7 linked regions of the Canis lupus familiaris genome follow. The protein of the gene in region 3 interacts with the protein of the main gene of each other region in a pairwise test. Links are inferred from orthologs where the notes say so. Each region holds a gene or a part of one and is shown on either strand. Other genes may lie near its edges. The genes, in order: IMP3, C12H6orf226, CCNDBP1, pre-mRNA-splicing factor SYF2, NANOS2, ILF2 and PIAS2.

What was found.
Region 1: the proteins of CCNDBP1 (region 3) and IMP3 interact in binary tests that used the Homo sapiens proteins (3 or more experiments, as listed by UniProt). The two-hybrid records come from large-scale screens. The link is inferred for Canis lupus familiaris from reciprocal best matches to the Homo sapiens genes CCNDBP1 and IMP3.
Region 2: the proteins of CCNDBP1 (region 3) and C12H6orf226 interact in binary tests that used the Homo sapiens proteins (3 or more experiments, as listed by UniProt). The two-hybrid records come from large-scale screens. The link is inferred for Canis lupus familiaris from reciprocal best matches to the Homo sapiens genes CCNDBP1 and PEX39.
Region 4: the proteins of CCNDBP1 (region 3) and pre-mRNA-splicing factor SYF2 interact in binary tests that used the Homo sapiens proteins (3 or more experiments, as listed by UniProt). The link is inferred for Canis lupus familiaris from reciprocal best matches to the Homo sapiens genes CCNDBP1 and SYF2.
Region 5: the proteins of CCNDBP1 (region 3) and NANOS2 interact in binary tests that used the Homo sapiens proteins (3 or more experiments, as listed by UniProt). The two-hybrid records come from large-scale screens. The link is inferred for Canis lupus familiaris from reciprocal best matches to the Homo sapiens genes CCNDBP1 and NANOS2.
Region 6: the proteins of CCNDBP1 (region 3) and ILF2 interact in a two-hybrid assay, tested with the Homo sapiens proteins (2 studies listed by BioGRID and IntAct). The two-hybrid records come from large-scale screens. The link is inferred for Canis lupus familiaris from reciprocal best matches to the Homo sapiens genes CCNDBP1 and ILF2.
Region 7: the proteins of CCNDBP1 (region 3) and PIAS2 interact in binary tests that used the Homo sapiens proteins (3 or more experiments, as listed by UniProt). The two-hybrid records come from large-scale screens. The link is inferred for Canis lupus familiaris from reciprocal best matches to the Homo sapiens genes CCNDBP1 and PIAS2.

What each region holds. Positions count from the first base shown.
Region 1 is NC_049251.1:38,869,876-38,872,602, forward strand, and holds IMP3 (U3 small nucleolar ribonucleoprotein protein IMP3), read right to left. Parts: upstream 1,370-2,727; 5' UTR 1,289-1,369; coding exon 734-1,288; 3' UTR 501-733; downstream 1-500. UniProt on the Homo sapiens protein: Component of the 60-80S U3 small nucleolar ribonucleoprotein (U3 snoRNP). Required for the early cleavages during pre-18S ribosomal RNA processing. Part of the small subunit (SSU) processome, first precursor of the small eukaryotic ribosomal subunit.
Region 2 is NC_049233.1:11,640,537-11,642,927, forward strand, and holds C12H6orf226 (uncharacterized protein C6orf226 homolog), read right to left. Parts: upstream 1,246-2,391; 5' UTR 1,120-1,245; coding exon 814-1,119; 3' UTR 501-813; downstream 1-500. UniProt on the Homo sapiens protein: May be a peroxin involved in the PTS2-mediated protein import pathway.
Region 3 is NC_049251.1:10,346,292-10,350,461, reverse strand, and holds the start of CCNDBP1 (cyclin-D1-binding protein 1), read right to left. Parts: upstream 2,801-4,170; 5' UTR 2,676-2,800; coding exon 2,567-2,675; intron 2,397-2,566; coding exon 2,337-2,396; intron 2,084-2,336; coding exon 2,004-2,083; intron 1-2,003. Other genes in the region: TMEM62 (transmembrane protein 62), read right to left, coding at 3,481-3,807. UniProt on the Homo sapiens protein: May negatively regulate cell cycle progression. May act at least in part via inhibition of the cyclin-D1/CDK4 complex, thereby preventing phosphorylation of RB1 and blocking E2F-dependent transcription.
Region 4 is NC_049223.1:73,953,760-73,958,017, forward strand, and holds the start of pre-mRNA-splicing factor SYF2, read left to right. Parts: upstream 1-1,458; 5' UTR 1,459-1,503; intron 1,504-4,258. Other genes in the region: pre-mRNA-splicing factor SYF2, read right to left, coding at 729-791, 980-1,141. UniProt on the Homo sapiens protein: Involved in pre-mRNA splicing as component of the spliceosome.
Region 5 is NC_049222.1:110,427,807-110,430,511, reverse strand, and holds NANOS2 (nanos homolog 2), read right to left. Parts: upstream 1,569-2,705; 5' UTR 1,504-1,568; coding exon 1,087-1,503; 3' UTR 501-1,086; downstream 1-500. UniProt on the Homo sapiens protein: Plays a key role in the sexual differentiation of germ cells by promoting the male fate but suppressing the female fate. Represses the female fate pathways by suppressing meiosis, which in turn results in the promotion of the male fate.
Region 6 is NC_049228.1:43,390,544-43,394,680, reverse strand, and holds the start of ILF2 (interleukin enhancer-binding factor 2), read right to left. Parts: upstream 2,801-4,137; 5' UTR 2,692-2,800; coding exon 2,687-2,691; intron 2,449-2,686; coding exon 2,389-2,448; intron 2,297-2,388; coding exon 2,254-2,296; intron 1,914-2,253; coding exon 1,809-1,913; intron 1,531-1,808; coding exon 1,453-1,530; intron 505-1,452; coding exon 402-504; intron 1-401. UniProt on the Homo sapiens protein: Chromatin-interacting protein that forms a stable heterodimer with interleukin enhancer-binding factor 3/ILF3 and plays a role in several biological processes including transcription, innate immunity or cell growth.
Region 7 is NC_049228.1:44,443,711-44,447,800, reverse strand, and holds the start of PIAS2 (E3 SUMO-protein ligase PIAS2), read right to left. Parts: upstream 2,801-4,090; 5' UTR 2,692-2,800; coding exon 2,668-2,691; intron 2,275-2,667; exon of another isoform or gene 2,096-2,274; intron 1-2,095. UniProt on the Homo sapiens protein: Functions as an E3-type small ubiquitin-like modifier (SUMO) ligase, stabilizing the interaction between UBE2I and the substrate, and as a SUMO-tethering factor.

The sequences.
Region 1 (2,727 bases), about 29 Mb from region 3:
GTGTCCCCTTCCCGTATTTCTCTAGCAAATGCATAAGTCTTGGCACTCTATACTTAGTCTCCTCGTCTAAGTCTTGGGTAAAAAGAGGTAACCTCCCCCTTCTCCAGTTCCCCACCGCGAAGAACATGCTTCCAGGAACCCCCTGGGCCACTTCTAACCGCTAGCTGGCCAAGCTACAGGGTGATTATTTCCTTGGGCGAGCCAAGAGCAAACACTGCAGCCCTCTAACACGGTTACTTCCTGGGGCTGGAATATCCACAGGAAGTCCTGTGGGGAAGAGCTCGGCCAAGACAGTCATTCCGAGCAAGGGATTAGTGCCCTGACGAATCTGCCGCAACCTCCGCAGGCGCCCTCCCCACCCCCCACCCCCCACCCCGGGGGCCGGCCTCGCTCACGGGCAGGTCGCTAACTCCGCTCTTCCCTACTGGGTTCTCGAGCCCAGGAGCCCAGATGTGAACCCAGATGTGAGCCCGTACGAGAAAGCCAGACAGACACAAAGGTGCACGCTCCGAGCGGCTGGCCCCTTTACTGGCATTGGGACGGCTCCTCTCCGCGCGCGAGGGCGCACAGCGCACTAACCCATGCCCGCCCTCGCCCCGCATCTGTGCAAACTCGAGCTCGAATTCTCCAGGGTCCGTGCGCCGCTTAACCCCGAACAAGAGCGAGTACTCGAATCAAAAGGGGTCGAGCAACGGGAAGGCGTCGGCGGGCGGCGCCCCGGGGAGGGACGGCGCTAGGCCTCCAGGTCGAAGTCGTCGCGCTCCTCGTTGTACTCCAGCACGTGGCGCCGGATCCGGGACGAGTCCACCCAGGTGACGAAGTCCTCCATGCTGCGCGTGACGAGGAAGGCGGGGTCGGTGACCACGTCGGGGCCCACGCGCACGTGGCCCTGCTCCACGAAGGCCACGGCGGCCTGGAGGTGCTGCGCCATGCGCAGCTTCAGCAGCACGGTGGGCAGGCGGCGGCGGCAGAAGGCCGAGGCGGTGACCGAGTCGCAGAGCGCGAGCGAGCCGCGCGTGGGCACCAGGCCGAGGGCGTACAGCTTGTCCAGCAGCGCGGCCGAGGCGCGCACGCGGAACGGGTCTCGCTCGGGGAGGTCGCGCAGACGCCGCGCCAGCTCGCGCACCGCCCGGCTCAGCTGGTTGTAGCGCGTGTAGTCCTCCCGCCGCTGCAGCCGGTACCGCCGCAGCACGCGCAGCTCGTGCAGGTTGTGGTCGGTGGCCTCCCAGTTCAGGAAGTCCACCTGCTTCAGCAGCTTCTGCTCGTGGAACTTCAGCTTCCGCACCATGATGGCGGCTCCCGGGGCCTCCAAAGCCGACGCCTCGACCGCGCCGCCGAGCGCCCGCGCGACTTCCGCCCAGGCCGGCCCAATGAGAGGACGGCCTCGGGCCACGCCCTCCGCCCCCATTGGTCAGGCCGGAGCCACGCCCCCGCCAGCCACGTCACTATCTCGCGTTGCTTCCCGCGTTGCCGGAAGTAGGGCCGAGGTGCTGGCGGTGGGGCGGCTGGCGCGGCCGCGGCCCGGGCAGGTGCTCTTCCTTTAGACCTTTTTCTTGTTGTTGTTTTAAACCTCCTCGTGGTGTTCAGTCACGAGGACTGTATCCCCAGTGCAGCAGTCGTTCAGTCCCACTCAGACTTATGCCTGTTAGAGTCTCCCAGGTGAGTCCGCTCCGGGAAGCTGAGGTCAGGCCGGGCGGAGACAGGTGCCGGCTGTGCTGGTTCGGCGGGCTGCGCGGCGCTCCCGGTGCTCTCGGTGCTCCCGGCGGTCGCGGTGCTCCCGGTGTCACGGTCCTCCGGTGCTCCCGGCGGTCGCAGTCCTCCCGGTGCTCTCGGTGGCCGCGATGCTCCCGGCGGTCGCGGTCCTCCCGGTGGCCTTGATGCTCCCGGCGGCCGCGGTCCTCCCGGTCCTCCCGGTGGCCTCGATGCTCCTGGCGGCCGCCGGTCCTCCCCGTGCTCGCGGTGGCTGCGATGCTCCCGGCGGTCGCGGTCCTCCCGGTGGCCGCGATGCTCCCGGTGGCCGCGATGCTCCCGGCGGCCGCGGTCCTCCCGGTCCTCCCGGTGGCTTCGATGCTCCCGGCGGCCGCGATGCTCCCGGTGCTCGCAGTCCTCCCGGTCGTCGCGATGCTCCCGATGCTCCCGGCGGTCGCGGTCCTCCCGGTGCTCCCGGTGGCCGCGGTGCTCCAGCTGCTGGGAGCTTCCCGGCGCCGCCCGGTCTAGGGGGGCCCGACGCTGGCGAGCCTGCAGGAACCCCGACTGCCCGGCCGCTTCCTCGCCCTCACAGAGGCCTCCCCGAAAGCTGTATTAGCAGATGTGCCAGGTGACTCATCGAACCTAGCAGGTCCGAGACACCTGGATTCAAGTACACACCCCGAGCTCACTCGAATTAGCCCGACCGGGTGGACTTCTGGTCACCCGGCACCGAGCTGAATACATTCAACGCTCTTCGGCTCCTTCGGTCTGTAAGTCACATACACGAAACCGGTCTGTTTGCCTGGGCCTTTGACGCCATCTAGCTTCCTCGCTGATCATTTTTAGTTTTGTACGGGAGTTTCATTGTCCTTTTAAGTACGATACTTACTATGTGGGAAATGATACATGTCAGTGTAAGTTATACATGTTAAGTTACAAAGTATAATGAGGATACTTAGGAACCCAACAGCCAGCTTAAGAAAAATGTCACCAGGACCACTTCCATCGACCTACTCCGGCCACTTCTCCAGCCAGAGG
Region 2 (2,391 bases), on a different chromosome or scaffold from region 3:
CTAAAATCAACACCATTTGGATCCCGAATTCGTTTCCATTACTAATAAAATTCTGTGTGCCTCTTCAGTAGCATTGTAAGAAGGAAAACACATCGGGACGCCTGGGTGGCTCAGGGCTTGAGCTTCTGCTCTTGGCTCAGGGCGTGATCCTGGGATCCAGGATAGAGTCCCCCCGCCCCCCCCACATTGGGCTTCCCGAGGGGAGCTTGCTTCTCCCTCTGCCTATGTCTCTACCTCTCTCATAAAACGAAAGAAGAAAAAAAAAGGTTCCTGAAAGGCTCGGTCAAGTATCTGACCTCTGCTGAGGTCGTGATCTCAGGTCCTGGGATAGAGCCTCCCGCCCCCCCCCCCCCCCCCCCCCACCCCGGGCTCCCTGCCCATTGAGGAGTCTGCTGCTTCCTCTCCCCCTGCCCCTCCCCTGCTCGTGCTAATAAATAAAATCATTTTTTTAAAATCAAAATATCTATGCATCGGGGACAGTGAAGTATGAGATTTGTCAATTTTAAGGGCTGAAACTGGGTATTTTAAAAATTTAATGAGGATCATGCTTCAGAAATACGGATACAGACAACCCCGATTATACTCCCAGGAGGCTTAAGTCCAGCCGAGATGAGTCCGGGCGAATGCACAAAGGATGAAAAGCCGAGGCCAGTATCCGGGGTCCGAGGTAACGCAGGGCACAGCCCCGCCTTCCGGGTCCAAGAGGTAAAGGACATGGAGCCTCAGGAACCCACTGCGGGCCATCGAGAGGGCGCAATCCCGCCTCCGCCGAGCAGGACCCGTCCACGCGGCTCGTCTCCCGGGACCCGGGGTCTAGGGCGGCGATGCGGCGGCCTCGGCCGACCCCGCGGCCTCCCAGGGCTTGGGCCTCCGCGGGAGCTGCGACGCCGTGGGCTCGCCGTGGGTCGCCGCGATGTGGCGCATCTCCAGGCCAGGGAGCTCCCGGCCCTGCTGGACCAGCTGCACGAGCTGCGCCAGGCTCACGGATGCCGAGGCCGACTCCGCGGGCGCCGGGCCGCAGCCCAGGCCGCTCCGACGGCCCGACGGCTCCATGCGCCGCTGCGCCGCCTCACCCGCAGCAGCGCGAAACGCTTCCGGGGCGGTGGGTGCAACCACCATCGGAGGCAATGGGGGGGGGTTCGTGGAGCGTACCAAGCCGGCCCAGAAAGGGGGGAGCACTTGAGAGCCGCGACCAGCTCCACGCACACGGAAAACTAGCCCACACCGGAGCCTGCAACGTGGCAGTGCTTTTTTTTAAGTTTTTTTTTTTTTTTTTTTTTTTTTTTTAATTCAGAGAGAGAGAGAGGTAGAGACACGGGCAGAGGGAGAAGCAGGCTCCATGCAGGAAGCCCGACGACGTGGGACTCGATCCCGGGACTCCAGGATCACACCCTGAGCTGAAGGCGGCGCTGAACCGCTGAGCCACCGGGGGCTGCCCCCGTGCAGTGCTTTAGAAGGAACTCCAAGACTGGCACAGAACGGGCCACGCATGATCATGATGCTGGCAAAAAGACCCAATTTGGCACAGGGGCATAGGCTCCTCCTACAAACCTCTTTTCCTTTCTCTTCTTTTTTCTTCTTTCTTTTCTTTTCAGTAATCTCTTAGGGCTCGAATTCAGGACCCCGAGATGGAAAGTCGCGTGCCCCTCAGACTTAGCCAGCCAGGCACCCCAGTCCATACCGATTTTCACACTTGTGTGTAAGTGTGTACCTGCAGGGCACGTGTAGAGACAGACGGCCAGGGGATCATCTCCGAGCCTGGCCTGACTCCGCAGCTCCACACAGAAAATAGCTGCGGAGAGACTTCCAGTGGGAGTTAAGTGACGGCGGAGCTTCGCCACTCTCCCCTTTTCCTGCCAACAAGACTCTGTGCCTGGTATTTTCAAAGAGGATGAGAAAAGATGAAAGCAGACCAGGTGTGCTACAGTCCCTCTGGCTCTCTGGAAAGTCAGTGCCGATTATTCTCAGGTTTCTAAGTTTATTGAAAGTTGGCCGGATCTGGCAAGCACTGCCTTCTTCATCCTGTAATCAAGGTCTAATTACTTTTTTTCAGTCTAATTACTATTAACAGAACAAACGGGCACCATGTGTCTCCTGATGTGATGCACTGAGGACACAATGGACGTGGGAAGACTACATCTCTTCTGTGGTACTCCTGCCCAGAAGGTTCACTCTGAATCTCATCTGGAGGAAATGAACAGACCTTAGAGTGAGAGACATTCTACAAATGTCTTTATAAATGTCAATGTCATAAATGTCTTGGGATGCCCACAAAGACAGTTATTAAAATTCTGATCAGATGGTTGACTGTGCTGACTGTCTTCTGTGACCCCACCAGATCCTCTCTCCACCCTTATCCACTGAGTTTCCTGCACACCGATGTCTACAGAC
Region 3 (4,170 bases):
CTAACAGAATCACAATATACCTAAAGGTAATTAACATAGAACCTATATTGCTCAATGTTGGCTATTTTCCTTCCAAGTAGTCACTGGCTTTCTCCTATCTTCCTTGTCCTCACTTTCCTGCTAAATTCTAAGCCAGTGCTATGTAAAATGTGGTCCACAGATTGGTGCCAGTCTATGAACAGTTACCAGTCTAGGATGGAAGATAAGTACAGTGATTGAGAGTAACTGCTTAAAACTGTTTATGACAATGTAACTTTGTTTCAACATCCAAAAACATTAAAACAAACAAACAAACAAAACAAACCATTTTTCAGTAGACTAACATGCTAAGATCCTAAGAAAGCAAATGGGATTCAAATACATATAACTCAAATAAAACTAAAACTTTTCACCTATGAGTGAACCCACTGTCCTGAGCATGTACAGAAAAATAATTCTATGCTGCTCCTCATAGTGTCCTACTAGCTGTGAATTTTAGCAACAAGTCCTAAGTATATTTGAAAGAAAGGATCAACAGATAAAAATAAGGTAATATTACTCCTTTTGAAATAAATATTGACTTTCTTAAGCAAAGCTTTTAAAATGCTCTCTAACAATTCATTTCTTATTTTCTTATCACAGTTCTCTGGGACCTATGCGGGGGGAGGGGGTAGGGAGAGCTTATTGTAGGTGCAGCAAAAGAATATTTTTTCCATTTTAAAACATCTGGATATATAGATTGAAAAAAGAATCAAACCACTGATTATTAAAACCAAATAAGGCAATGAATATGCCATTTTTAAAATAATCTTACTCTCAAATTAAGTATACCTAGTTCTGGAAAAATAGCATAAAGCATAGTCATAGCCAACATGTTTATTTTCATCAATTTTATAATAACTGGTTATTTAAAAATGCATAAATTCAGGGTGACTGGGTGGCTCAGTTGGTTAAGCATCTGCCTTCAACTAGGGTCATGATCTCGGGGTCCTGGGATCTGGGCCAGAATGGGGCTCCCTGCTCAGTGGGGAGTCTGCTTCTCCCTCTCCCTCTGCCCCTCCCCACCACTTGTGCTCTCTCTCAAATAAATCAATAAAATCTTTAAAAATAAATAAAAATAAAAATGCATAAATTCTTGTTCCATCAATTCCACTTCTGATATATACAAAGATTGTCTTAGGCAATTTACACAGCACTGTTTATAATAGTTACAAGTTGGAAAGAGCTTTAATGTCCACATAAAGTATCATTAAACAAATTATAGTTATATACACTCTATTGAATACCATGCAGCATTACAAAGAACTGAGCAACTTCATATGTGCTGCTAAGAATCAATGTGCAAGCCATGTTGTTAATTGTTTTTTAAAGGAAGGTCCAGAAAAGTGTTTATAGTTTATAGTATCCTATCATTTGTGTAAAAAAGAAGCGGGCATATACACATGAGTGTGTATGTGCATCGAATATATATGGAATAATACAAAAGTAACTGGGGAGGAGAAATATAAATTTTTTAGCACACTTAACTTTGACATCTTCTGAATTTTATATTGTATATATATGTTACTGATTAAATATAAAAAGCAATTCAATACAAAAAGGATATTATGTAGCATAACAGAAAAGGTGTCGTTTAGACATCATGGGCCCTAATTTAAATGCTAGTTCCACTCTTATTTACCTTAACCTGAGCCTCTAAGCCCGCTTACTCATCTGTCAGGTGGGAATTACGTATGTGAAAACACTTAGCAAATAGCGAGTGTTAAAAAAAATATTTATCAGAAAGGAAATAACCAGGATGAACTGCAGATTGAACCAATACCTATTTGAATGACCTGAGCACGGCATGCCAGGGGCTGACTGCCCTTGGCAACCTCGCACCCCTGCGAGGTGAGAACCGCAATCTTACTTGACAGGTGTGGAAAATTAACCCCCTGGCTTCAGTGTAAAGGGTGGAAAGAAAACGACTGGATCCCTAATGAACAACGAGGCAAGCACAAGGATTCCAGGAAAGTAAAGCCCACCTGCGGAGAGGGCAGTGGAACTCGAGAGAAGACTTCAGTCAGGGTCGTGGCTTCCCTCGACACGTTCTCTGCTGCCCGGTCTGAGGGATGACAGAGGGGAGGGGCCGTGTTGTCAGCGCCAAAAGGAGAAGCCTGCAGCTGCTGCATGGACTTTGGAGATGTCAGCCTCAAAAACACCTCCCCGGATCAGTGTTTCATATCCCAACCTCCGAAGTGCAAAGGACTGAGAGGATGCGGCGGGGGGAGGGGAGGGGGGGAAAGCGGGAGGGAAAGGGGTCGTCAGTACCCTGGAAGGGATGAGAAACAGAAGTCCCCAACAGGACAGGCACTCACTGAGTCTCCTCCAAAACGTCTCAGCATTAAACTCCTTGGTGGTCTCCCGGGCTTCGCCAACTGTAGCCGGTGTAGCATGTGGACCGGGGGTGGCAAAAGGAAGAGCACAGGTAAGCGGAGCCACCCCGGCCCGGCCCCGCCCCCGCCCCCGCCCCCGCCGGCGCCCCCGCCGGCCTCTTCCCTAGCCGAGCCCGCCCCTGCCGTCACCAGCCCCCAAGGCGTCAGCTCACCCCGCACGCCAGGCAGGAGCAACCGCAGCTCCACTGCCAAGCGCCGGATCTGCTCCAAAGGCGGATCTAGGGTGGGGACTGCGGCTGTAGGTGCGGCTGTGCTCGCCATCTCAGGAGATCGCCTGGAACCTCCGGACGAGAGCGGCCGAGGCGGCTGCCAGGGCCGCAGGGCAGCGGGCGCTCCGCTTCCGGCAGCCTCAGGTCCGGGTTCGTTTCCGGCAACAACTCGCCCGGCCCCGCCCCGGGGCCCCAGCCACGCCCGTTCTCAGCGTCCGAGGCCGGGCCACGCCTCTCTTCGTCGCTGGGGGTTCCGGCCACGCCCCCTCCGACTCCCGAAGCCTGGCCCCGCCCCCGAGGGTCCCGGCCTCGCCTCCTCCCGCCCACAGATGCAAGGCCCAGTCAGAGTTCTTATTCATCATTCATTTATTTGATTAGCTGAAAGCACCCCACCTAAAGAAGCAGAGAACCCAGTACCCTGAGGGAAAAGTAGACCTGAGCTAATTATCTCAAGGGTAGTCAAGGTAGGGCCCAAGTTCACAAAGCTTCCCTGCCCCCAACGTGGCACCCTTGTGGGCTGCTGAATTCCACATACTGTGCTAGGTACTTTACACGAGGTAACCATAAAAAATACTCCCATACACACACCCAGTCCCTCACCTGTGGATCTCCTGATTAGGACTTTCTCTGAACAAAAGTAAATCAATCCTTTGCCTTCTTGGAGAAGGAAGGAATCATGGCATTATTTAGAGATTTTTCTGCAGTCCATTCTGTAGGAATCAGTAGTGGGTAATCCCACTCAACTCCCAGGTGTCCAGGGTGCAGCAGCTCCCTGAAGCTTGCCCACCATCACTGGCCTTCCACCTGCTGCTGGGGCAGAGGCCTGGGCCAAAGAGGTGGATGGTGAGACAAGGCCTTCAGGAGCTCAGGTGGCTTTTTAACTGTGCCACAAAGGTTCCAAGCTCAGTAGAGTTCAGAGTCCACACACTATGAATGATAACAGGTGTCAACAGTGTCAACCAGGTCCGCAAAGGGGAGAAGAAGAAAGCTAAAGTGCCATATGTCATATGAAGAAAGTAGCAGGAATAAATCTGCCAGATGTATAGCAGTAACATAAGTAGGTGAACAGGTATAATTTTCAAGTATTTTCCTTGATGGAGATGAGACCGGAAGTTGTGACCACAGCACCGCTGCAGCAAGCTCCAACACAGGTAAGCCATCAAGGGTATGTTAAAAAATACCAGCTGGAAAGAGAAGCAGAACAGAACCATTAGCTTATTAGTAAGACTTTAGAGGGTCAGGTCTCATTAACATATTATTGGCGGCTCCTAAAAATATGCTGCTCTGTCTCGGGGGTTAACTCTTTGATTCTTTATGCTTCAATCACACTTGCTTATAACACTCACAAGAGGTGACTTATAGTTAGTTGTGAATTTGCCTGAGTCCTTTAGTTCATCTTAAAAGTAGGTATCATTTATGTTGAGGCCCTCATTAATGTGTAAGGTAGAAATAAATTGAATATATGTATATACACACACACACACACACACACACACACACTTCTTTTTGGCAGAGTGAAGGGGGGACTTAGGTATCAATAATTTTTT
Region 4 (4,258 bases), on a different chromosome or scaffold from region 3:
GAGTCGTGTTGTGGTGTAATTACCGGTTCTGGACCTGAGGCAGGGGCCTTACTGTATTGACCGCTGCATCCACACTAACTGGCTGGGGTACACTAGGAGCTTGGCGGGAAGTGGGGAGGAGGGTGTTGGGATGAGTGAGTGAGTGGCCAACTTGCTGTGTGACAACAGACACATTCCCTTCCACTTCTGGCCCGCAGTATCCCCCTCCATAAAAAGAAGGGTTTGATAGAATCACTAGAGCTGAGCGTGTGGGGAGAGCTTGCATTAAAACAAAACAAAACAAAACAAAACAAAACCAGTATCTGGGTCCAGGAAATTATTAAATCAGACATTCTAAAAGTGAGGCCTAAGCACGAGCATTTTTAAAAAGTTCTGGAGTGGGGGGATCCCCGGGTGGCTCAGCGGTTCAGCGCTTGCCTTCGGCCCAGGGCGTGATCCCGGGGTCCTGGGATCGAGTCCCGCGTCGGGCTCCCCGCATGGAGCCTGCTTCTCCCTCTGCCTGTGTCTCTGCCTCTCTCCTTGTGTCTCTCATGAATAAAAATCTTAAAAAAAAAAAAAAAAAAATCAACTCTGGAGGGATTCCAGCGTGCTACTGGGGCGGAAACCACCGGGAAAGACCTTTCTTCAGCTCCGGGGTCGGTCAGGCGCGCAGGTGCGGCTCGGTGGTCCCTCCCGCGTCGCGCCCGCCGCCGGGGGCACAGGTCTCCGCGGCCCCGCGGGCTACTCACCCGCTTCAGGTGCAGCCTCTGTTCGCGCCTCTGCTCTCCGCCCTCCGCGCTGTTCGCCGGCACCTGGGCAAGGAGCACCGGCTGGAGTCGGGGCGGCCCCGCCGGGTCGAGCCCTCAGCGCCGGCCCGACCCCACGCGTGTGTGCCTCCCTCCCTGGCGCCGCCTCCACGTCTAGCCAAGCCCGTAGCCGCAGGCGCCCCTACCCCATCCCCTGGGCGAAGCCCGCCACCTTCTCATTCCCAGACTCAGACCCAGCCGCCATCACCCGGCAGCGCCCGATCCCTCTGACTTCGGCGACAAATAACTTTCCCGACTGGGCGGTAGCCACAGGTATCCGGGAGAAAACCCCGCCCCTTTCTGCTTCTCCCGGAGACAAGGGACCAATCCCCGCCCGTCGCAGCCCTGGGCCGCATCCGATTGGTCCAGGGCTGTGCGCAGGCGCGTTGAGTAGAGACACCTGGGCGGCGCGGGTAAAACCAGAGACCTGGAGTCAGCGCTCTTGGGACCAAGAGGAGGAAAAAACCCACCGAATGTGTGGAAATGCAACCCAAAGCTCAAGATGTGCTCATCATCTGACCAACCTTGTAGTTCAGATTTCTGAATTCAAATCCAGGGTAGATTCACAGTTACCATCACGTCATCCTGTTTTTGTTTGTTTGTTTGTTTACTTCATCCTGTTTTAATCCCCGCTTAGTTTATTGTCGCCCTGCTCAGGTCAACGTGAGCTCCAAGAGGCACAGCGGATTCCTGTGGCCCGAACGGTACCTGGTGTAGGGTATGAACTAATTTCATACTGTTGAGTGAAAGAAGGAACAAATTGGTTGGGGGCTATTTGGTATCTTGAGTATCTTCGTGATGCAGAGGATTTGGATTAATTTGAGGCTTTGACTTTCTTTGGAAAATTCTGCACAGAACAGCATTCTTCATGTATCTGTTCACTCATTCAATAATGAACTGTATGATCGTTCTTATTTGTTTGCTAACTAGTCTGCTCTTTGGTTCATCATCTATGAAAAAGAAATAATAAAGCAATACCTATGTAACAGAGTAGTTTGGGGATAAATTAGATAATATGGGTGAAGTATCTGTGACTAGTACCTGACCCATAGCAAATGATGAGTTATTGCTGACTTTTACCAGTTGGCATTAGATGTCCCCCCCTCTCCTGCCTGAGATTTTATTAAATGTCTTTCCTCAGGGAAGCCTTAACCTCCACTGCCTGAAGGGTCACTTGCCTGTTATAGCTCATTCATACTTTCTTCTTTGTTACATTTACATAAGTGTAATTAAACAAGTGTGGAATTGCTTTGTTTAATGCCGCTGATTTAAATGAGGCAAGTTTCTAAACCACTATTAATATAGCAAATCAGGATCCCTGGGTGGTGCAGCGGTTTAGCGCCTGCCTTTGGCCCAGGGAGCGATCCTGGAGACCCGGGATCGAATCCCACGTCGGGCTCCCGGTGCATGGAGCCTGCTTCTTCCCTCTGCCTATGTCTCTGCCTCTCTCTCTCTCTCTGTGACTATCATAAATAAATAAAAAAAATGCAGCAAATCTAGGCCTTTATTGTTTTCTGTATCATGGATGAATTGATAGAGGAGTCTTACATGTATTTATATTCTTTAGGAATACAGAAATGTCCATGACATAATTATTTTCAGAAAGATCACACTGGAATTACAGGTTCTACAAAACATTTTGTCAGAGCCCTACAAACTGAAGTCAAATAATTAAGGAGAGTTTAATGAAGTGATTGTTTACAAAGTTGTGGCCTGGGTTAAGAGAAACCAGCAAAAGAAAGTGAAGCATTCTTCACTAGAAGGCTAGCAGCAGGGAAAAGCCATTGCTACCCCTAATCTTTTTTTTTTAATTTTTATTTATTTATGATAGTCACAAACAGAGAGAGAGAGAGAAGCAGGCTCCATAGTCACACACACACAGAGAGAGAGAGAGAGAGGCAGAGGCTCCATGCACCGGGAGCCCGATGTGGGATTCAATCCCAGGTCTCCAGGATCGCGCCCTGGGCCAAAGGCAGGTGCTAAACCGCTGTGCCACCCAGGGATCCCTGTTACCCCTAATCTTAAAGAGGTAAGGGAAGGATAGGGTAGGAGAGGGTCTTCAGGCAGAGGCTGTAACTAAAGAAATCGACCAACCCATAATCCAGGCAGGGAATAAATATCCTGATCCCATTTCTCCCAGATTTCTTATCTTCTGTAAGTGCCGCTAATTGGAAGGATCTAATGAGGAGAGAGTAATAAACAAGAGAGCTTATTGATGCAATACATACGGGCCAGCACTTGTGGGTGCAGAACAGAGTGGACACTGGTGGAAGGTGGTTCTAAAGGAGCAAACAACATATCTAACACAATTCTTTTCATGGGACATGGTAACAATTTCATAATTTTTTGAAATTTTAGAAGAGCTCTTTGTTCAAGTTATATTTACATAGATTTAGTAACAAAGAACAGAACAAGTTGTGTGGCCAACTGAATTTTCCAAGATGATAGAAGATCTTCCATCCTACGTGCTGTTCTTACAATGTGACATTGGCATACCTCCTAAGGAGAGATAAGATCTATGTCCCTAATCCTTGAATATGTGACTACGGAGGAAGTGACATGATGTGACTTCTGAGGCTAAGTCATAAAAGGGGTAACAGATTCCATCTGGTTCTCCTGGGATGTTTGTTTTTTGAACCCAGTCACCATTCTTTGAGGAAGCCCAGGCCAGATGGACAGGTCATGTAGGACTGAAAATTGGTACAACCCTTAGGGAGGGTAGTTTGGCAATATGTATAAAAATTACAGAGGCATTTTCTTTTTGACTTAACTGTTACACTTCTCAGAATTTATCCTACAGGTGCAATTGGACAGGTATAAAATGACTTATGTACAAGGATTGCTTCCTCCTATGATTTAGTAAAGATGACATGATTGCAGATTCATTGGGTGAGAATATACAATAATTTTTGCTGGCTGTCATGTAAAGCTTGTTGGGTAAATTTAGTAAAGCTTCAGTATACATCTTGGCCAACAGAGGGAACAAAGACAGTGGGATGAATTCTCCCTTACCCCCAGGGAAAGCCCTAGGGTGCAATGATCTAACATCCAGGTAGAAGTCATGACCAATGATCTGTGCCACATAACCACTGAGTTCCACTCAGGGCTGCTTAGTAAACATATGGACAATGTAACCAATCAGTTTCCTTCAATATAACAGAATGCTTCCAAAGTTCTAGATATCCATCCCACATCTTGGGTGCAGTTGGGTTGGTTATGTTTAGAGTGATTTTGTTATTGTTCCCAACAACATAGGGGTGCCTGGGTGTTCAAATGTCCATACTGGGGTAAGCAACATACACCCATCCCAAATCTGAGTATAGCCACCCATGGTTCTGACAGTCATATTTTTTTATTCTTTTGGCTAACAAATTGGTGGGCTGTCTGCATGGTTTGGTTAACAGAAAAAGAATACTTATGTCCTGTGTCATTAATAGTATGTGCTATAGGCCAGGCTTCTGGATCAGAGTTAC
Region 5 (2,705 bases), on a different chromosome or scaffold from region 3:
TCTTTATTCACTAGTGCTGAACACCCAGGGCCCAGCCCTGAGCCAAAAACGGAGCAACTTAAAAATCTGACCGGGGCTCTTTCTTTTCCTTGCCCCTAAAATAAAATCTAGGCAGTTGCCTTTCCCATCTGGGCACTAAAACCCCTTTCTTGTCGGAGCTTCATTGATTAAATGTTGGAGGACGAAAAAAAAATGAAAAAGAAAACTGGGAGAAAGAAAAAAGACTTTTAGCAAACTACCTTGAAAGGTGGGTGGGAGGCAGTGGAGAGCTGCCCGCCCTCCGGCTGTGGGAAACACCCATTGGTGATTTGCGGTTGGGGGTGTTGGGGGCGGGAGTGCAGTGAAACAGAATGAACAACAAGGTCTACCAGGGGGAGTTGAAGGATGTCAGCAGCGCACCCCAAGCTCTCCACTCCCAGATAAGCCTTCCAAGACAAGGTCCCCCCCTTCGCCCCCCCCCCTTCCCTGCCTCCTGCCGCATGCCTCCTCCTGTCCCCAGCTCCCGGTGGATGGGCTGCCCGGGCTGGGAAGGAACAATCCAGGGAAGTCCACGGTGAAACCATGAGTTCACATGTGGTGGCTGAAGCAGGTGGACAAAGCTGGTCTCAAGTCAGAATCACATCTTGATGTTCTTGGGCTAGAGTGTCCAAGCCAGTCTCGTTCACTCTCTCCAAGTTCTTAGGCTGGGCCTGGGAGAGCACGCTGGGTCCTCTAGGTCCAATAATCCAAGAAGTCCACCAGGAATGGGATCATGGGGCTGCTGGTGACACTGGCCCCCAGAAAGACTAAAGATCCACAAACGGTGGTCCAGAAGGAGCCACCAGGCCTTGCAGTCCAGAGGGCAGCAGTCCTGCCTCACCAAGAATCCACAGACACCCCCAGGACAGAGCTCCAGGCCTGAGAGGCCCCGGGGGGCAGAGCTGGCGGGGCTCCCCAGCAGCCTGTTGTTTCAGGATCCCGCAGGGATGTAGCTCTGGGAGCCAGAAGTTCCAAAGGGCTGGGTGAGTCAGGGGGAGGGTCCAGAGACTAGGCAGGGACCAAACCAGGAGGGTTGGGGGTAGAAGGGGGGTAGGCACCTCCTGATCCTCAGCGCTTGACCTTGCGGCCAGCTGAATTGCGGCCACTGCGGCGGTACAGAGACTGCTGGCCGCCGTTGAGCGGACAGTACTTGAGCGTGTGAGCCTGGCCGCCGGTGGCCCCGCACAAGGGACACACATAATGCCGCAGGATGGGGCACACCACCACACCCTCTGGGGTCTTCAGCTGGTGTGAGGAGTAGACGTGGCGCGATTCCCCATTGTGCTTGCAGAAATTGCACAGGGTGGCCAGGCTTCGGCTGGCCCCCGGCCCTCCCACACCCTGATCCTGCCCCAGCTGGGGCCCAGGTCTCGGCTCCCCATTCCCTTGGGCCTCTGGCCTTTGCCCCCCACTCTGGATCAGTGCCAACACCACCTTGCTCAGGTTAAAGTAGTCCTTCCACATGTCGAAGGCTGGCAGCTGCATGGCTCCCAGGCGGAGGTGGTGGGTGGCTAGAGGAAGAAGGCCAGGGCTCTGGGGCCAGTGGGCAGGAGCAGCAGGTGCTTTTCTGGAGCAGAGAGGAACTGCACCCCCTTTTATACTCCCCCAAAGACCCTTCTAAACAAAGGTGGAGCTTAAGATTTAAAGGGCCCACTCCCTGCCCAGGATCCCCATCTGACTGTAATCCCCCATGGAGATCGGAAGGAGGCCCTTCCCCTTGTCTCTGGTCCTTGCTCTGCTTCCAGGCTACCCTGTGACTTCTGGAAAGACCCTTCCTTTCCCTGGGCCTCAATTTCCCTATCCATTCCATAAAGTTCCATGTGTGCAAATGCCCCCTCGCTCCCCATCCTCATTTACCCCAAGGCTGGGGGCTGCCCTATACCCCAGAACCATTCCTAATAATAAGGTTTTATTCATTTATTCATCACACACACACACAGAGAGAGAGAGAGAGAGGCAGAGCAGTAGGCAGGGGAAGAAGCATGCTCCCTGTAGAGAGCCCTATGCGTAACTCGATCCCAGGACCCCGGGATCACACCCTGAGCAGAAGGCAGTCCCTCAACCACTGAGCCACCCAGGCGCCCTACATTCCGGATAATAATGACAGGTCCTTACCAGGAGCCCTACTGTGCTGCACCTGTGTGATCTGATCTCACTCTCACAACATCTATGCGGGAAACACAGTTAAGAGCCCCACAGGATAGACTGAGTTACCTGAAGCTCAGAGAGGGAAACTCGCTGGCCTGGAGTCACAGAGCATGCAAGCCACGGAGCTGGGACTCTGACCCAGGTCCTGAACTGGGAGCCCTCTATTCGACAGATACTTTTTGAGCGCACACTTCGGTGTTCAATGTTTTATACGTGAGATCTATGAACATGACTTGAGCCTCATAACCACTCAGGGAGGTGGGCATAATCACTCACATTTTATAGAGAAGAATATGAGGTTCAGAGAGGTTAAAGAATGTACTTAAGTTCACTCAGGAGGGAGATGGCACAGTTGGAATTTGCACTCATTTTCACTCTAGAAATGCTGGGAATTGATCTTAGAGGTAGCAGAGGCCCATGGCATGGCACAGTCTCACTTAGAGTGCTCCACCATGGCTCTGTGCATTGTCCCAAATCCTATCTGAGGTTGGCAGCTAAGAAAAGCCTTGCCTCTTGCCCACATCACCTCCAGGAATTCT
Region 6 (4,137 bases), on a different chromosome or scaffold from region 3:
CCTCCTAGACCCACACCCTTATTTTTTATAGTACGGTTTCTCATCAATGGCACAAATGCCACTTGGGGCTGGATAATTCTTTGAGGGCTGAAGGGCAGAATATGTCCTATGCACTGTAGGATGCTTAGCATCATCCCTGATCTCTAATTCCTTTATTGCCAGTAGCCCAAACTGTGTCTAGACACTGCCAAATAGTCCATGGAAGAAAAAAATCACCAATTGAGAAACACTACCCTTTAGTAACAGCCATACATTCTTTCAGACACACAGTCCAGACCTTGTCCCTTATTACCCCAACACACGTTAAAAAATGACCTTTCTCACAAGAAATTTGGGCTTTGAAGACACCTATGCCTCAAACTCAACTTTCTGCTCCTGTGGCCAGAAAGAGATGCACTCACATGTTGGCAGAATCTTTAGGATTACCACCAGGTCAGCCACATTGTGTCCTGTAGTCATTGTTCCTTTTTTATAGGATCCCACCTGTCGCACTTCTTCAATTTGCTGTTGGAAAAGGGATTGGGAGATGCAGAAGTGAAAAAGACTATCTAGAGGGGCCTGGGTGGCTCAGTCAGTTAAATGTCTGAGTCTGACTTTGGCTCCAGTAGTGGTCTTGGGGTCCTGGGATCAGTCAGGCTCCCGGCTCAGCAGGGATTCTGCTTGTCCCTCTTCCTTTGCCCCCCCCCCCGCCCAATCCACACGTGCTTACTCTCAAATAAGTAATAAAACCTTAAAATTAATAAAGGACTGCCTAGTTCTTCTCAGAACTCAATTACAACACAATTATTACCCAGGTTTATTTTATTTTTTTTAAATGTTTATTTATTTATGATAGTCACAGAGAGAGAAAGAGACACAGGCAGAGGGAGAAGCAGGCTCCATGCACCGGAAGCCCGATGTGGGATTCGATCCCGGGTCTCCAGGATCGCGCCCTGGGCCAAAGGCAGGCGCCAAACCCCTGCGCCACCCAGGGATCCCATTACCCAGGTTTAGAAGTAGCAGAAGTCAAATCATAAAATAACCACATGGAGATGCCTGGGTGGCTCAGTGGTTTAGCCTCTGCCTGTGGCTCAGGGCAAGATCCCAGGGTCCTAGGATCCAGTCTCACATCAGGCTCCCTGCAGGGACCCTGCTTCTCCCTCTGCCTGTGTCTCTGCCTCTCTCTCTCTCTCTCTGATTGATAGATAGATAAATAAAATCTTTAAAATAATCTATCAACCGATCAATCAATCTACCCCATGAAGAGCCTAATACACGGCTAGCTGATAACACTGATACAAGTCTTGTCCCCAAGATCACCACCACAAAGGGATCCCACTGTACTTTCCTTCCCATCTTAGGCTTGGCTTTGGCGAATAAGTAACTGAAGACTTAAGAGACAGGAGGAGCGAAGGAAACACTACCCACACCACTAAGGCTGCCCTTTCCAATGATTAAATCACTAAAACTCACCACTTCGAATGTCCCTGGAGCCACAATCAAATTGTCAATCACATTGTTGATTTTTGTCACCAGAGAAAGGATAGATGCCTGAAAAACAGCAGGAAACAAAGATACCCTAAAGTGAAAAATTATAAGCAACTTCTCAGAGTTGGGGTATTTTTCCATAACTTTTTGACCTAAAGACGCATCCCTGAATAAAAACATAAATGCACATGGAATCTGTTGATATAATCTTGTGACACTCTCCCTGTACCCACAGTGAGAAATGAGATCAGCTGAGCCTCTGCGGAGTATAGGCTCTGGTAACAGCAACCTGGGTGGGAGGTTTTTAGAGAAATCTCAGGGAGAAAGCCCAAGAAGTAGACCTGTTCAGCAGAATTAGGAGCAAGGTCCTGATTCCTCTTCAGCAAGGCCTCACTGAACGAAGTTTCGTCAGGCGCTGGCTTGACCCGGGGGAAAGCCATCTCACACTAAGGCACAAAGAAACGACATGCTATTTACAAAAAATACTTGTTTTTACTCGTTAAGGTACTCAAACCAGAGTACTTGCTGGAAGGACCAGCCATCGTTTAAGTTCTCATTGCGCTACAGAAACAGATACACCAAAGAGGGCATTCATCATCCAGAGCAGAGACCACAGTCCTGTTAGCGCCCACAGGAGCCCCGTGAGCACACGGGCTTTGCAGGCGACCCGAAACCCTGCTGCTTCCTGCCGGCCCGAGCTCCCCGTGAACCCCGCGCACCCGCGGCGAGGCACGGGGTTCCAGGGCACTCGAGGTCAACGAGGGTCAAAAGGAGCTAGTTACTCACCAGATAGAAATCAAATGGAATATGTGGCACAAACGGCCGGAACCTGAAAGAGGAAAAGGGATCCCCGTTACTCCTCAGCCAACTCTCACCGCGAGCGGTGCCTCTGGCTGGCGGGCACTGGGGACCGGCACTCACCCGCCTCCTGGGCCTCCTCGGGACCCGAAGCGCCCGCCGCGCCCTCGTCCTCGGTCACCCCTAGGAAGGCAGACATTCCCGGAGGTCTTCGCTGCGTCCAAGGCACCGCCACCGCGCCGAGCTCCCCGCTCCCAGGGCCCGGGCTCCAACCGCGCGTCCGGGGGACGTACACCCCGGGATTCCCGGAGCCGTCGCCCCAGGTCAAGGCCAGTCCGCCCGCCGCCCGGCCCCCGGCCCCCGGCCTGCCCAATCCTCGGCCCCTGGGCTCCGCCCGCCGCCTTCCCGCCCCGGCCCTTACCTCATGGCGCCCTAAGCCCCGAACAATGGAAGCCACCCTAACCGCCCCTCGCCTCGGAGGAGCAGACACCAGAGACGCGGCTGGCCGGAGCGTCCCAACAAACTCTGGCCCGATTGGCCCCCGCTCTACGCCGCCGCTAACGCCCATTGGCTTATTTTCGCAGACCGGCCTGCAAGCCAATAAGAAGCGCCTGCTGTGTCAGAAATTAGCCAATAAGAACAGATTTCACAGTAACAACCTTTTTTTTTTTTTTTAAGGCAGGCACTAGGTGGCGCGGTGCAAAAATGACTGGACAGAGCTTCGTCTAGGATGCTGAGAGGCTAACGACACCAGTAGCAGAGTGGCGCAGCGGAAGCGTGCTGGGCCCATAACCCAGAGGTCGATGGATCGAAACCATCCTCTGCTATAAGGTGTTACATCTTTTCCTTGGGTGCTGCACGTACTTTTAGTGCTTATAATCACCTTTTCCTCCCTCAAAAATGCAGCCTTTAGAACCGTTTTTGCCAAAATGCAGTGAAGGGGATGGGAAGGGACTTCAGGCAACGCTACACGCCTGGGCGGGGCTCACCGAAGGCGGGAACCTGAGGCAAGAGAAGCTGATCAGACTCCTATCAGACGGAAAGCCCTGATGACAACGGGTTAGACTAGAGGAGAAACCGAGGCAGCCTTTGAAAGACCCTTCAGGGGCACCTGGGTGGCTCAAGGTGTGATGTCGGGGGTCCTTATATGTATTCCCGCATCAAGCTCCTTGCCTGGAGCCTGCTTCTCCCTCTGCCTGTGTCTCTGCCTCTCTCTGTGTGTCTCTCATGAATAAATAAAATCTTAAAAAAAAAAAAAAAAAAGTTCAGAAAAAGCGCTGAGGGGAGGCTGCAGAGGAGGAGGAACCCGAGTCGCCTGGGGAAGGTCTCGCTCCCCCAGGTTCCCCTCCCTCCGCGACCCCCAGGGCACCTGCCCCCCACCCCCGCCAGGTGGCTCCGAGCGCGCATAGGCAGGCGCTCTTTCTCCCGCCCCCGAGTCGCGGGCAGCCGGTCCCTCCCGGGTCCTTTCTCTCCGGCTTCTCCCCTTCTGCACCGGATACGTTTACTTCACTGCCCGCACGTTTTCTACTTTCAGCAGAGATTTGCGGTCTGTGTGCTTCCCCGCTGGTGGACAGTGTAGGGAGGACTCCGCTGCAGCCCCAGGGTCACACGCGGTGGCTGCTGGGTCACCCACTCAGAGACGGCCAAGCAACATGCAGCACCGCAAGCTTTTCCTCTACTTTAACTGAGTGATGGGCTCCGCCGCGCAACCATCACCCAGGTGAGGACAAAGGACTTGTGTCTGCGCTCCTGACCCTCTGCCCGCCCGACGGGCCACCCCAACTCCGATTTCTGTGAGCACAGGTTGGCTGCGTCTGTTCTCAACTTCACAGGAATGTCTGTACTTTCTGTCCAGTTTCTCTTGCTTGACAC
Region 7 (4,090 bases), on a different chromosome or scaffold from region 3:
AGCAATAGTATGGGCAGCCAAATATGTGACTTCCAAGTCAGCTATTTCCTCTACTGCCAAGTTAGCCAACAAACTAATGCTGGCCAGTTTTCCCTGGTCCTTTAATTTACCGGACTCTCTGACCCCCACAGAATATATTCTGAAGCAGAGACCAACCATTTAGAATGCCCTACATGTTTCTTCCTCTTTTCTAATTAGATTTTCAGTCAGCTGTCCTGTTTCCCCTCCAGTATTATATGTCACATAAGAAGGACACTGGCTGTCATTCTATTTAGTTCATAGATTGCAGGCTGATGGCTAGCAACACCACGTGGACCTGAAGGAAATTGCACAGAGCAGGAGAGCCCAGATTCTGAAGAGCGTGGACTCTAAAGCTTGACATCTGAGGTTAAAAATCCCAGGTCTTCCAGCTCAAGCTATGTTGGGCTACTCAACTGGTCTCAGTTTCTTCTGACAATTTCTTCTAATAATTCTATTACAATTATTGCAAGAATTAAACAGGTATGTAAAGTGCTTAGACCAGAGCCAGGCAGGTAATAACCAGAGATATTATAATGGATATTTATTATCATCATCGTCATCACCACCACCACTGAAATGGGTACAGGACATGGAGACAGTTCATCTTTAAATGTAGAAGATGCTGCTGAGCAACTAAAGCAAAGACTGGTGTGGATAACTCTTCCACCATCTATCTGCACACCCTTCTTGTCCTCTGAAAATTCTCCCCAGACTCTGCCAGGCACCTTAAGTGAGGTGCCATCTTCCATCAAGTGTGGGAAGAAGCAAAGACAGCTGAAAAAGATGATGAAGCTGATCTACAAAACAAATTGTAGATGGCAAGGTGGGGGAGAGGGAAGAAAATGGAGAGGGAGAAAAGGAGGAAAGGAGGTGGGGGGGGATAAAAGTGGGGAGCAAGAAGGGGGAAAGGACAGGTAAACCCGAAGAGAAAAAAAGCATCTTTGGCTTCCATCCTGGCTCCACTCGAACTTCAGCACTGACTGCTCTTTCTGCCCTATACTTGCAAATAAATCCTCCCCTTTTTATTAAGCTTTGACAAACAACATTTATAAAAGTCTAATGCAAGTCTTGGAAAAACTTTCATCAACAAAAAAAAATCCTAGAAGACGATCACTTGTATATATATGTTACTGCGCAAAAATTAGGACACTGCATGTAAAAAAATTTTTTGACCTTCCAACTTGTCTCCTTAACCAATCCTCAACCTAATGCATTCATTTACACAGCTGAGGCTCAGACCTGGTTGTTTCAAAAGCTCCACAGGTGTTAAAACTCCTACACTTACCAACATGAATACCCTTTGGCCGCTACTATGGTTCTCCGTATAAACTAATGTAGAGGCACTATAAACTAATATAAAGAAAATGCATTCATGTACTTTTTACTAGGAATTAAGTAATTCGTTTTGAAACGACAGAAGGGAAAATGGCAGGTATTATGCAAACTATAACACGCCCTCCCTTTAGATCGTTACACCAATAGGTTCTTTTGCTGATGTCCATCGTACCAGCCAGGTAAGCAGACAACATCCTTCCGACTCCATCCCTCGCGGAGGGGGGGGGGGGAGGGACCACAAACATACAAAACTGAATCTTTGACCGGATTCCTCCTCCTCCTTATTCCCAAAAAGTAACCCTTACATCGTAGTCTATTATGCAAAAGGACTGCAGTTAATTTCAAGTTCGCATTCAGCTCTACTTCGGCTTTTTTTTTTTTTTTTAAATCACGGTTTCCGTCCTGAAGTATTCCATTTCTGTCGCCAGTAATTCAGCGATCCATAAATAATAAATAATAATAATAATAATAATAATAATAATAATAACGAATCAATCCCGTCCGTTTATCACAGTTCAGTTTCAGCTGAGGACTCTGAAGGTTACCAGCCCCGGGGAAGGGGGGCGGGATATCTTTTCCTCTGTACCCCCCAGCACACCCGTTTTCAAACCCCGACTACAAAGATACCAACAATAAAGTTGTGACCTTGTCCTAAGGCCAGGAAGCAAAAGGTTCCCCCCCGCGCGAGCCGAGTTCACAAGCCAAGCTCACGGCCCCTCGGCCTCTGCGAGCGTCTTACCAGGGCAGTAAGAAAACACCAAGTGTGAGGTCGAGCCGAACCGCGGTCTCACGGAACGGCAGCACCAGCCCCGAGAGCAGAGGCGGAGGACTCCTGAACGCCCCTCGGCGTCGCCGAAAACAGTCTCCCGGCAAGTGAGTACCACGCGGACTTCGGAGCGGCCCCCAAGGCGGACGGGCGGACCCCGCGTCCCGCCGCAGCCCGGACACCAGGCCGTCGGGCGCCCGCGAGACCCTCCCGGCGGCGGCGGCGGCGGCGCCCCCGCGCCCCCCGCCCCGCGCGCCCCGCGCGCCCCGCGCCAGGTGTGCCCCCCACCCCCGCCCCCCGGGCCCGGCCCACCCGCCGCTCCGGGCCCGGCCCGCCGCCGCCCCCGCGCGGCCCAGCCGCCCTCCGCCGCCCGGCTCCCCTCCCCCGCCCGCCGGGCGCCCCGCTCGCACTCCGCCAGCCGGTCCCCGCGAAACAAGAAGCTGGCGGCCGAGCGACGCTGCGGCTCCCCCGCCTCGCCTCGCCTCGCCTCGCCTCCCCTCCCCTCCCCCGCGGCCTCCACTCTCCACTCCCGCGCCCCCGCTTACCCTCAACTCCTCGAAATCCGCCATTTTACACCACCCGCGGGCGCCGCCGCCGCTGCCGCCACAGCACCCCCTCCCGCTGCCGCCAACGACGCCGCCGCCACCACGGCCGCCGCCGCCGCCTCCAGCACCATCCTGCACTGGGCGCCGCTAAAGACGCCGCGGCCGCCGCCGCCGCCGCTGCCGCCGCCGCCGCCGCCGCCGCCGGGCCTGTCACGTGACCGGCGCGGGAGCTCCGCCCCCGGCGCGCGCGGCCCCGCCCCCCGCGCCCACCCGGCCCACCGCCTTCCGCCCACGTCTTCCGCCCGGGCCCGCGGCCCGCTCCCGCCGCCCGCCGGCCCCCCGCACGCCTTCCGGCGCCGCGCCCGCGGCCGTGCCCTCCTCCGCTCCGCCCCTGGGACGAGGACCCCGGCCGGGGAGCGGCGGAGGCGGGGGAGACGTGGCCGGGGCTCCCGGCAGCGACGTTTCGGGAAAATCCTAGCGGTGCCCTTGTAGCCGACGGGAAGCAGCCGCCAGGAAAACCGCCCCCCAAAGCGGCGGCGGACCAGCCTCAGCGTGGCGCTGCCCAAGCCGCCCTTGCGATCTCAGGTGCGCGCCGGCCGAGCCCTCGCCGCGTGGGTTCTGCCCTCCGAGTACTAACCTGGCTGATGCCTTGGCTTTGAAGGGCGCCTGAATGTCACGGGCTGCAGGCGCGAGAGGGTGGAGCGGCGGGACCTGGGGAAAGGTGAAATAAGAGAGCGAAAGAAGAGTACTCCCAAAGATCCCCGGTTTTTTAAAAAGTCGAGGGGTCGGGGAAATCAGATAGCCGGGCGAGATGAAATGCCAAGGGCAAAATAGATGGAAGCGAAGCGCGGTGGCACCGGCGACGTGCTGATAAGGATGAGAGAAGATGCTGAGTCAAGCTGCTCGGAAAATTCACTGGACCAAGCCCGGGGTTCAGATTTCCCTGAAGAGGTGGGTGAAACCCACCCACGGGGAGAACTTTAAAACCCTTGATACCATCTGCAGAGCCCTGTGTACTCTGGTGCCTGCCTACTGCCTCTTCCCATTCCCCGTTTGTTTAATGAGTAAAAGAATGAATGAACAGCAACTAGAGTGATTTCTGACGCTGGCTCTCTACCATTAACTTCGTGGTCTTCGCCTGGCTGCTTCTTGATTTTAGTGTTTATCCTCCTTTGGCCTTGGTTTACACCTCACTGGAGTTTAACATTGTTCAACAGCCATTAAGTGAAGGTCACCGTGAACTAGGTGCTTTGAAGGAAGAGAAAGGTGAATAGAATACAAGCCTTCCGCCGAGAAGTTTACAACGCATACAAGGGACCAACATGAACACGAAATTAAGAGAAGGCATGGCCTCACCGAGAGTTGTTTGTAGTATTAGCTGTCGGGTTGGTAGGTTTGACTGCACGGCTCTCAGCGCTGTCCC